Linked DNA regions of Cricetulus griseus. The protein of the gene in region 1 purifies or fractionates together with the protein of each later gene. This does not show direct contact. Links are inferred from orthologs where the notes say so. Each region holds a gene or a part of one and is shown on either strand. Other genes may lie near its edges.

Region 1 (3,645 bases):
AGGTGTCCAGGAGCGTGGCTGTCAAGACTTTGTTCAACACTAGAGTGGGAGGGGTGAGCTGGGGCCAGGGTCAGGTGACACCATTGGGCAGGAACTCTGGTAGCTCCCCTTTATAAAATGCCCTGAGTCAGGGAGGGAAGTAGAAGGTGGGAACACCTTTTCAGAACGACAGGCACAGCAGTGGCAGGGTTCCTCTTGAGGCTCTCGATGACCTCGGGGGCCTTGTCACCATAGATGCGGTGGATGGCACGGCGCTGGATCACCTCTGATGTGCCACCCAGGCAGTCATCCAGGCGGAGCTTCTCCTGGTCCTCAGGTGCCATCCTCGACAACTTCTTCTGCACACTCTCCAGCACACGGATGGTGGCCAGGTTGGTCTCCAGGACAACGTCTAACTGCAGGGAGGGGCAGGCAGCAGTGGTGTGTGAAGGTCATCATGGCAGTACGGGGGTGTGTGGAGCCAGTAAGTGTGGGAGAGGTGGACTCTGCTGATACCGAAGTGGCCCTACCACCTAATAGGGTGCTTGGGCACCACAGTGATCACCCACTCAGTGATATCATTTGTACTTTATACTCATTTTCTGGCTTTCTTATGACTTACTTCATTTTTAACTTTGCATCTATGTATAAGTGTGTGGGTATGTACAAGTGAGAATAGTACCCCTGGAGCACAGAAGGTGGTGTCAGACCCCTTGGAGCTGGAACCTGAACCAAGGTCTCTGCAAGAGAAGTCAGCACTTTTGTTGTTGTTGTTGTTTTTGCTTTATGTTTGAGACAGGGTTTCTCTGTGGCTTTGGAGGCTGTCCTGGAACTAGCTCTTGTAGACCAGTCTGGCCTCGAACTCACAGAGATCCACCTGCTGGGATTAAAGGCGTGCGCCATCACCACCAACGCCCAGCTGAGCAGTCAATCAGCACTCTTAACTGCTGAGTCCTCTCTCCAGTCCCTTTTTACTTTTTCATCTTTCTAAGACAGAACTTAGGCACTCCTCTTGCCTTTGTGCTGTGAAGAAGGGCATGTGCCCCACACAAAACGTACTTGTCTCTCTTGAAATGACGGAATAGTAGAGGGTGGGACAAAAGGGTGTTCACAGAGGAAGGGAAGGGAAGGGAAGGGAAGGGAAGAAGGGAAGGGAAGGGAAGGGAAGGGAAGGGAAGGGAAGGGAAGGGAAGGGAAGGGAAGGGAAGGGAAGGGAAGGGAAGGGAAGGGAAGGGGAGGGGAGGGGAGGGGCAGGCTGGGTGTGACTACTGATGATTAGAACAGCAAAGAGATCAGGGGGCTTGTGTGGCTTAGGCATTGAATCTGGTGACAGAATCACATAATACACAGACACACAGGCACGCTCACACGCGCACACACACGCGCGCACACAAACTTTCTGCTACAGTCTGACCTGTTCTTCCCAAACTCACACTGAAGTTTAGAGGTTGGTGTGGCAGTATTAACAGGAGGCCACACTTAGCAGAGGCCCATGACCCCAGCACATGGGAGGCAGAAGCAGGAGACCATACATTCCACGACAACCTTATCTTAAACACAGGACTTCAAAGAGGTGCTCTAGGCACAGCCTGTCCTCATGGGTGGGTGGCACTGCCCAGGAAGGGGAGACAAACCACAATCAGCCTCCTTTGTGTCCCTCCACTATGGACATCAAAGACAGGCTTCCCTGGATATGGGCCTTCACATTCCACTTCCCAGTGGTTGCCCTATCCATTGGACTCTTGTCGTAGCATCAGATAGAAACACATGGGGGCTGGAGAGATGGCTGAGAGGTTAAGAACACTGGCTGTTCTTCCAGAGGTCCTGAGTTCAATTCCCAGCAACCACATGGTGGCTCACAACCATCTGCAATGAGATCTGGTGCCTTCTTCTAGTGTGTGGTCATTCATGTATACAGAACACTGTATACATAATAAACAATCTTTAAAAAGAAAGAAAGACGGGCAGACATACACCTAGGAACTTGGGGTGGAGAATGTGTCATCCTAGCACTTGGAAGGCTAAGGCAGGAGGATCACAAGTCGTACACCAGCCTACACTACAAAGAGAGCCAATTTCATAAAGAAAACCAAGGGCTGGAGAGCTGGCTCACTGGCTAAGAGAACTGGCTGCCCTTCCAGAGGACCCACATGGTAGCTCATAACTGTCCTAAACTCCAGTTACAGGAGATCTTATGCCCACTTCTGGCCTCCATAGGCATCAGACATACATGGTGCAGATATACACGCAGACAAACACCCACACACATAAAATAAAACCCTTAAAGAAAACCGAATCAAAAAGAAGACGTGGACTCTGGGATAAGAAGGGTGGTTGTCTGTCTGTCCTCCAGAGGGGCACTCAGTGGGGTCTGAGAGCTCAGTTGCAATGTCAATAAATAAAGCTAACTTAATTTTAAGTTAACTAATTGTTTTTAGTTGATTATTTATCTAATTGTATTTTACGTATGAGTGCTCTATATGTATACCTGCACTCCCGAAGAGGGCATTAGATCCCATTATGGATGGTTGTAAGTCACCATGTGGCTTCAGGGAATTGAACTCAGGACCTCTGGAAGAGCAGCCAGTACTCTTAACTGCTGAGTCATTTCTCCAGCCCTGCATTATCTTTAGTTGAAAGAAAGGGGGTGGAGCTTAAGAGCTGGCAGAGCTGGTAAGCAGGGAGCTCTGGGAGGAGAGAGAGACTGAAGAACTGGGCCATGCTATGAAGGCACTAGGCTGGGTGGACAGATGGCAGGCAGGACAGGTGGTTGGGGTGTAGGTGGGTTAGACTCACAGCTTCACCTACCTCAAACCTCTCATCCTCACAACGATGCAGCTGCTCTTCATACGGAGTCTTCTTGGAGCTGACAAAGGTAGAGTCCTCAGACCAGGATGGGAAGGACACCCATGTGTCATTCAGGACCTGGACCAGAAGAGAGGAGTGTCACTAAGCATGCTGGTACAGACAACATGAGTAGCCATGCTCACAGCCAGTTACTTCCCACCACTCAGTGAGATTAACTCTCTAGATGCCAAGCAGGCTAGGGCTGTGGTACTGAATACAAGGCTGTGTCTCAGGGCCTAGCACCATCGCATGGTGGCCTTGAGCCACAAAGATTTTTTTTTTAAAGATTTTATTTATTTATTATGTATACAGTCTTCTGCCTGCATGCCAACAGAGGAAACCAGATTTCATTCAAGGTGGCTGTGAGCCACCATGTGGTTGCTGGGAATTGAACTCAGGACCTCTGGAAGAACAGTCAGTGCTCTTAACCACTGAGCCATCTCTCCAGCCCCAAGCCACAAAGATTTTAAGCTGTCTTTGAATATCCAACTTTGCCTTTGTCCTAAGAAAGTGGGCTGAGGCAATGTCCACAAAGGCATGCCAGTGTGCTTACAACACAAGTGGTGGATCCAATTTGCTTTGCAGTGCTCAGCAGATCCTCAGGCTATAAATTCTCTGGGCTTGAGTGGGACTCCCGAGTCCCCTCTTAAGAGAACTACCCACAAACCTGACTGTCCAAGGCTCACCTGAACACACATGGTGTTCTGGCTAGTTTTATGTCAACTTGACAGAAAGAAACTGTGAATATGTTTCTATTATTGGTTGATGGATAAAGATGTTTTGGCCAACAGACAGGCGGGAAATCTGAACAGGGACAGA
Region 2 (4,331 bases), about 12 Mb from region 1:
TCACTGATCTGTAAAGCAAAGGGCAATGTCCACTTCAGCACAAGAACAATTTCTTTTCCACAGTCAGATCTAGAGTTTATTAGTTTCACCTTTTGGGGATACATAGTGTAAGCTTTTAGAGGAAAAAAAAAAAGGAAGTTATAGGTCAAGGGCTACAAGAACTGTCACCTGAGATTTAATAGTAGTATAAATGCATGTTTTATTCTATTTACTTATTTATTTTTGGTTTTTCGAGACAGGGTTTCTCTGTGTAGCTTTGTAGACCAGGCTGGCCTGGAACTCACAGAGATTCGCCTGCCTCTGCCTCCCGAATGCTGGGTTTAAAGGCATGCACCTGCACCACCACCACCACCACCCAACCACCCGGCTAGTATAAATACATGTTAACTGATTGTATTTAATTTTGAGATTTGTCAGATGCTTTAAACATTTAAAACTTAATTCAAATATTTACATAAAGGCTTTGGAATTGCCAGCATGCTTATGATTTACATTTAACATAATAAAACTTTGCTCTACCTCTGGAGTATCGATGTCCTGAACAGGTGAGTCTCCTCCATCATCATCACTCCCTTTCCTCTTTCTTCTGTTTCGAACACTCTGAATTAAGTTTTTATGATAATCACAAATATAAAGATGTCTTGCCTGAAACAAAGTTTCATAGACAGTGAATACAGAACAATGCATCTCTGTGTTAGTAAAACACATAGGCCCAGATGAATGACTGAACAGTCTAAGCGGGCCACTGTTAAGACAATGTAACGTTCCTTTCCAAACCGGTTACCTGACTCTAACATTAGCAGTCTGGCAATACTGTTTGTGGGAGAGGGGAGGGGAAGGAGAGTGGTACCATGGGAGAAGGCAGGCAGACAGAGGAAGAGAAATTCCAACCCTCTGGGGTTTGTCATCAAATTGCATTGAGGATGACCTAAATAAATTAGCTCCCGTTGATTTTGAAGGTACAAGGGAAGAGGTGATAATTTTCTCTAATCTGAGAGCAGCAAATCATATTAATGCTCCTAATGTTAGGTATATGCTTCCTAATCTTACTAATTAGTCAAATTCCACACAGATACTAACTAGGCATTTTTACAAATGCGCTATTGAATTCATATCCTATGTTTAAATTTCAAGTACTAACATTTCTTTGTAAGAATTAAATGAATGTATTTATCTGTACTGTGTTGCTTTCAATTAAAGAACACAGAAATTATTCACATTCACTTGCAACATTTCTCATGGGTCCTACTGAAAAACGGCTTAAACAGAAACACAAACTTTTCAAACAATTACACAGGCATTTGAGAGTTACATAATGAGCGATTGGAAATACTGAGCTGATTGACAGTCTCCCCCTCCCCCCTTTAAGGCTACACAATTAAGGGCCTTTTAAATTGACTACTAAGCTAAGAGCAAGTTAAAAAATATACAGATGTGTGGAGGCTCTGTATCCTCTTCTTCATTTGCCACCAGCCAGAGCTCTGGAAAGTAGCAAAGGATCTCTCTGAAACCTCATAGCTGGCCCAAAGAGCAAACGTGCATAAAGACGGGAAAAAAAATCCCGATGGCTGCCAAGTGGGCTGTAAAACCACTGAGGATTATTTGCAGCCTCGGTTCGGAGCAGCTGCACGAAGAGCTGACACCGCAAACACCGTTTACAACCACCTCCCAGTAAGGCACTGGTGAGTTCGGCTTCCCTCTGCGTGTTCAAGAGAAACAATATCGAGGGGAATGCAGGGGGGAGATTTCCCTTCTCTGCGACGTGGGTTCCTGCCAGACTCGACTTTCCCTAAAGGAGCGGAGCTACTCCCTGGGGTCAGACGCTGGCTCGGGCAGCAAAACAAAGGCGCCTCCATTCCAGAGAAGGGGCTGCCCGGCTACAAGAAAACTACTCTGGGCTCTCGGTAACGCGGTTGGTTCCCTTTGTTTCGTTTCCAGATCGCAGCAAAGGAGGAAGAGGGAAGCCTGGAGTGGGAGAGACGCGAGGCGGCCGGAGTCGGGGTAGGGGCGGAGGGGACCTGCACCACTGCGCCAGGGCGCGCCGGGGGAGGTGGCCAGAGTTGCAGCGACTTTGTTTCAGTCGGAGAACCCACTAATCCCACCTGCAGCCCGGTCCCGACGACTCGTGAGCCTCCGCCAAGGACCGGGCTGGGCAAGCAGGGTAGGGCAAGGGCTGGGCAGGGCGGTCCCACTGCCACTTACACTCTTGTCCAGCTCGATCTTCACCTTCTTCTGCGAGATGCTCTTCTGGATCCTCTTGCTGAAGCTGGCGTTGCCAGCCGCGCGCCCGCACCGCTCGCCGTCCTCCCGCAGACAACAGAGTTGCCCGAGGCCCGGACCGGCTGCTCCGGGGGGACCAGCAGCCGATACCGCACCAGCACCGGGTACCTCTGCCCCACCGCCAGCCGCGTTCCCGTTCCCCGCCGAAGCGGCGGCAGCTGCAGCAGCGACCACCGCGGCCACGGCTGCGGCCGCGTCCCCGCTGCGGCTCATCTCCTCCGGAGTGAAGCCGTTCATGTCTGCCAGCTCGGGGGCGCCGGCGCCGCCACAGAGCCCCGCTCGCCGCGCCGCTCCGCCTCCTTCCCCGGGGCGGCCGTTCACTCCGCACCCCAAGTGTGGCGGCGGCACGGTCCGACGCCCAGAGTCCCGGGCCTGTCGGTCTGTGGGCGCTGGAATAGCGGCGGGTTCCTGGGACTGTGATCGGGAGTGGAGTGGCTCCTAAAAAGGGGACCCCACTCACTGTCACATGGAGACTTCAGCAGTTGGACCGCGGCTCCACCGCCTCCTTCCAGCCCCGGGACCTGCGCGAGTGAGACGCCCCTCCTCCGGCCCCGCCCCTCCACCGCCGCGCGGCCCCACGGGAATAGTAGTTCTCGGTCGCGGAGCCCACTTGCGCTCCGTTCTGATTACGTGCTGGACGAACTACTAATCCCAGCATACACCGCGCGGCCAGCCACCCGTGAGGTTTTTTTCTTTTTTCCATTCCAAGCACCGGGCAAATCCGAGTATGAGGTCAGGCTTTACTGTATTTTCTCGCCTCTTTTATCTCCTACGAGCAAGGGCTGTTTTTAGCTCCTGTTATTTCGTAAAGTTAGTGTTCAGACGGCCAGCCGACTCCTGGGAAGAAACATAAACAGTGCGTGTATGCGGTGGGGTACTAGGGAATAAGTGAGAAAAAGTTTGTGGGCTGTTTCTTCTTTATGGAAAACACTCGGGCGATCTGGCATTCGTTAGGCGCTGGGTCCTGCATCTCCATCTCCACGCCGCAGTGTACTTCCCGTGTGCCAACCGGTTGACAGGCGCCGGACTGCTGCTTGCCTCTGCTGCCCTGGACTTCCGCGCAAACGGATCCGAGAGGGGAGGGGTTTAAGAACCTTTAAAGGATCCCCACTGCCACCAGGTCTGCAGGACTGCTCGGAAACTTGGCAGCGCTGGCCGTAGGGGACGAGGAGAGAAAAACCTCGTTTCTTGAGTCATACACATGCGTACATGTATGCTTGTATGTGTCGCGGGTGGGTGGGTGCGGGAGCGCGGGAGCGCGCCTGGGTACGTGTTTGTGCTCGCGTAGGCGTGTATTCCTGCCTGAGCCTGCGGTGGGAGGGGTGGGAGGATGGGCGTGGTCATGCTAATTATTGGACTGTTTAGCTATCCCAATGATTAAAGGAAAATAATGTATTTCAGGTAGAGGAGTTTTGAAAGAAAGCCGTTTTAGACTTAGTCGATTTACTAACAGATTTAGGACAGATTCACGGAGAAACTCAAAGCTGCCCGTGTTATCTGTGAATTTCTACTCTCATACAGCCGTGAAAATTGGTGAATACATTTTTATTATTTAAAATGGTCATTTTTCTCTCGTACTTGTTAAGTTATAAGTTAATATATTTAATCAAATACTAGAAAATTCTAGGCTCTCATGCCTTCCCATGCCATTTCTTCCATCTCTGGGACTCCAATTCAGTATATGTTAGGCCTCCTACTGTACTCTTTGTGTTTCCTACCTTATCTTCAGTGGCTATGTTTTGTTTTAAATTTCCATTGGATTCTTTTAACCTACACTTAGTCATACATTCTCTATTTAGGTGTGCCCACTCTGCTCTAAAATTCACCCATAGTTTTTTGGGTTTTGTTACACTTCTTAGTCTTATAATTCCTATGTTTTTTCCCCCAGATCTTAAATGTCACCAATTTTCCAATCCACTGACAAAATTTAGAAGTTTGATTTTTTTCTCAGTAAACCTAGCAAGGACAGTGATTGTTAGGCTATGTTTAGTAAGTCTTGTTTCACTTGTCTATTGTTTCTGATGAAGATGCTCACACCCGACTCTTCTTCA

What was found. The genes of interacting proteins can lie anywhere in the genome.
Region 2: the proteins of Sin3b (region 1) and Sap30 purify together in Homo sapiens (affinity purification with mass spectrometry; 4 studies listed by BioGRID and IntAct, with this or other methods). This does not show direct contact. The link is inferred for Cricetulus griseus from reciprocal best matches to the Homo sapiens genes SIN3B and SAP30.

The regions. Positions count from the first base shown.
Region 1 is NW_023276806.1:247,446,150-247,449,794, reverse strand, and holds part of Sin3b (paired amphipathic helix protein Sin3b), read right to left. Parts: intron 2,905-3,645; coding exon 2,788-2,904; intron 396-2,787; coding exon 157-395; intron 1-156.
Region 2 is NW_023276806.1:235,757,490-235,761,820, forward strand, and holds the start of Sap30 (histone deacetylase complex subunit SAP30), read right to left. Parts: upstream 2,818-4,331; 5' UTR 2,518-2,817; coding exon 2,203-2,517; intron 646-2,202; coding exon 520-645; intron 1-519. UniProt on the Homo sapiens protein: Involved in the functional recruitment of the Sin3-histone deacetylase complex (HDAC) to a specific subset of N-CoR corepressor complexes. Capable of transcription repression by N-CoR.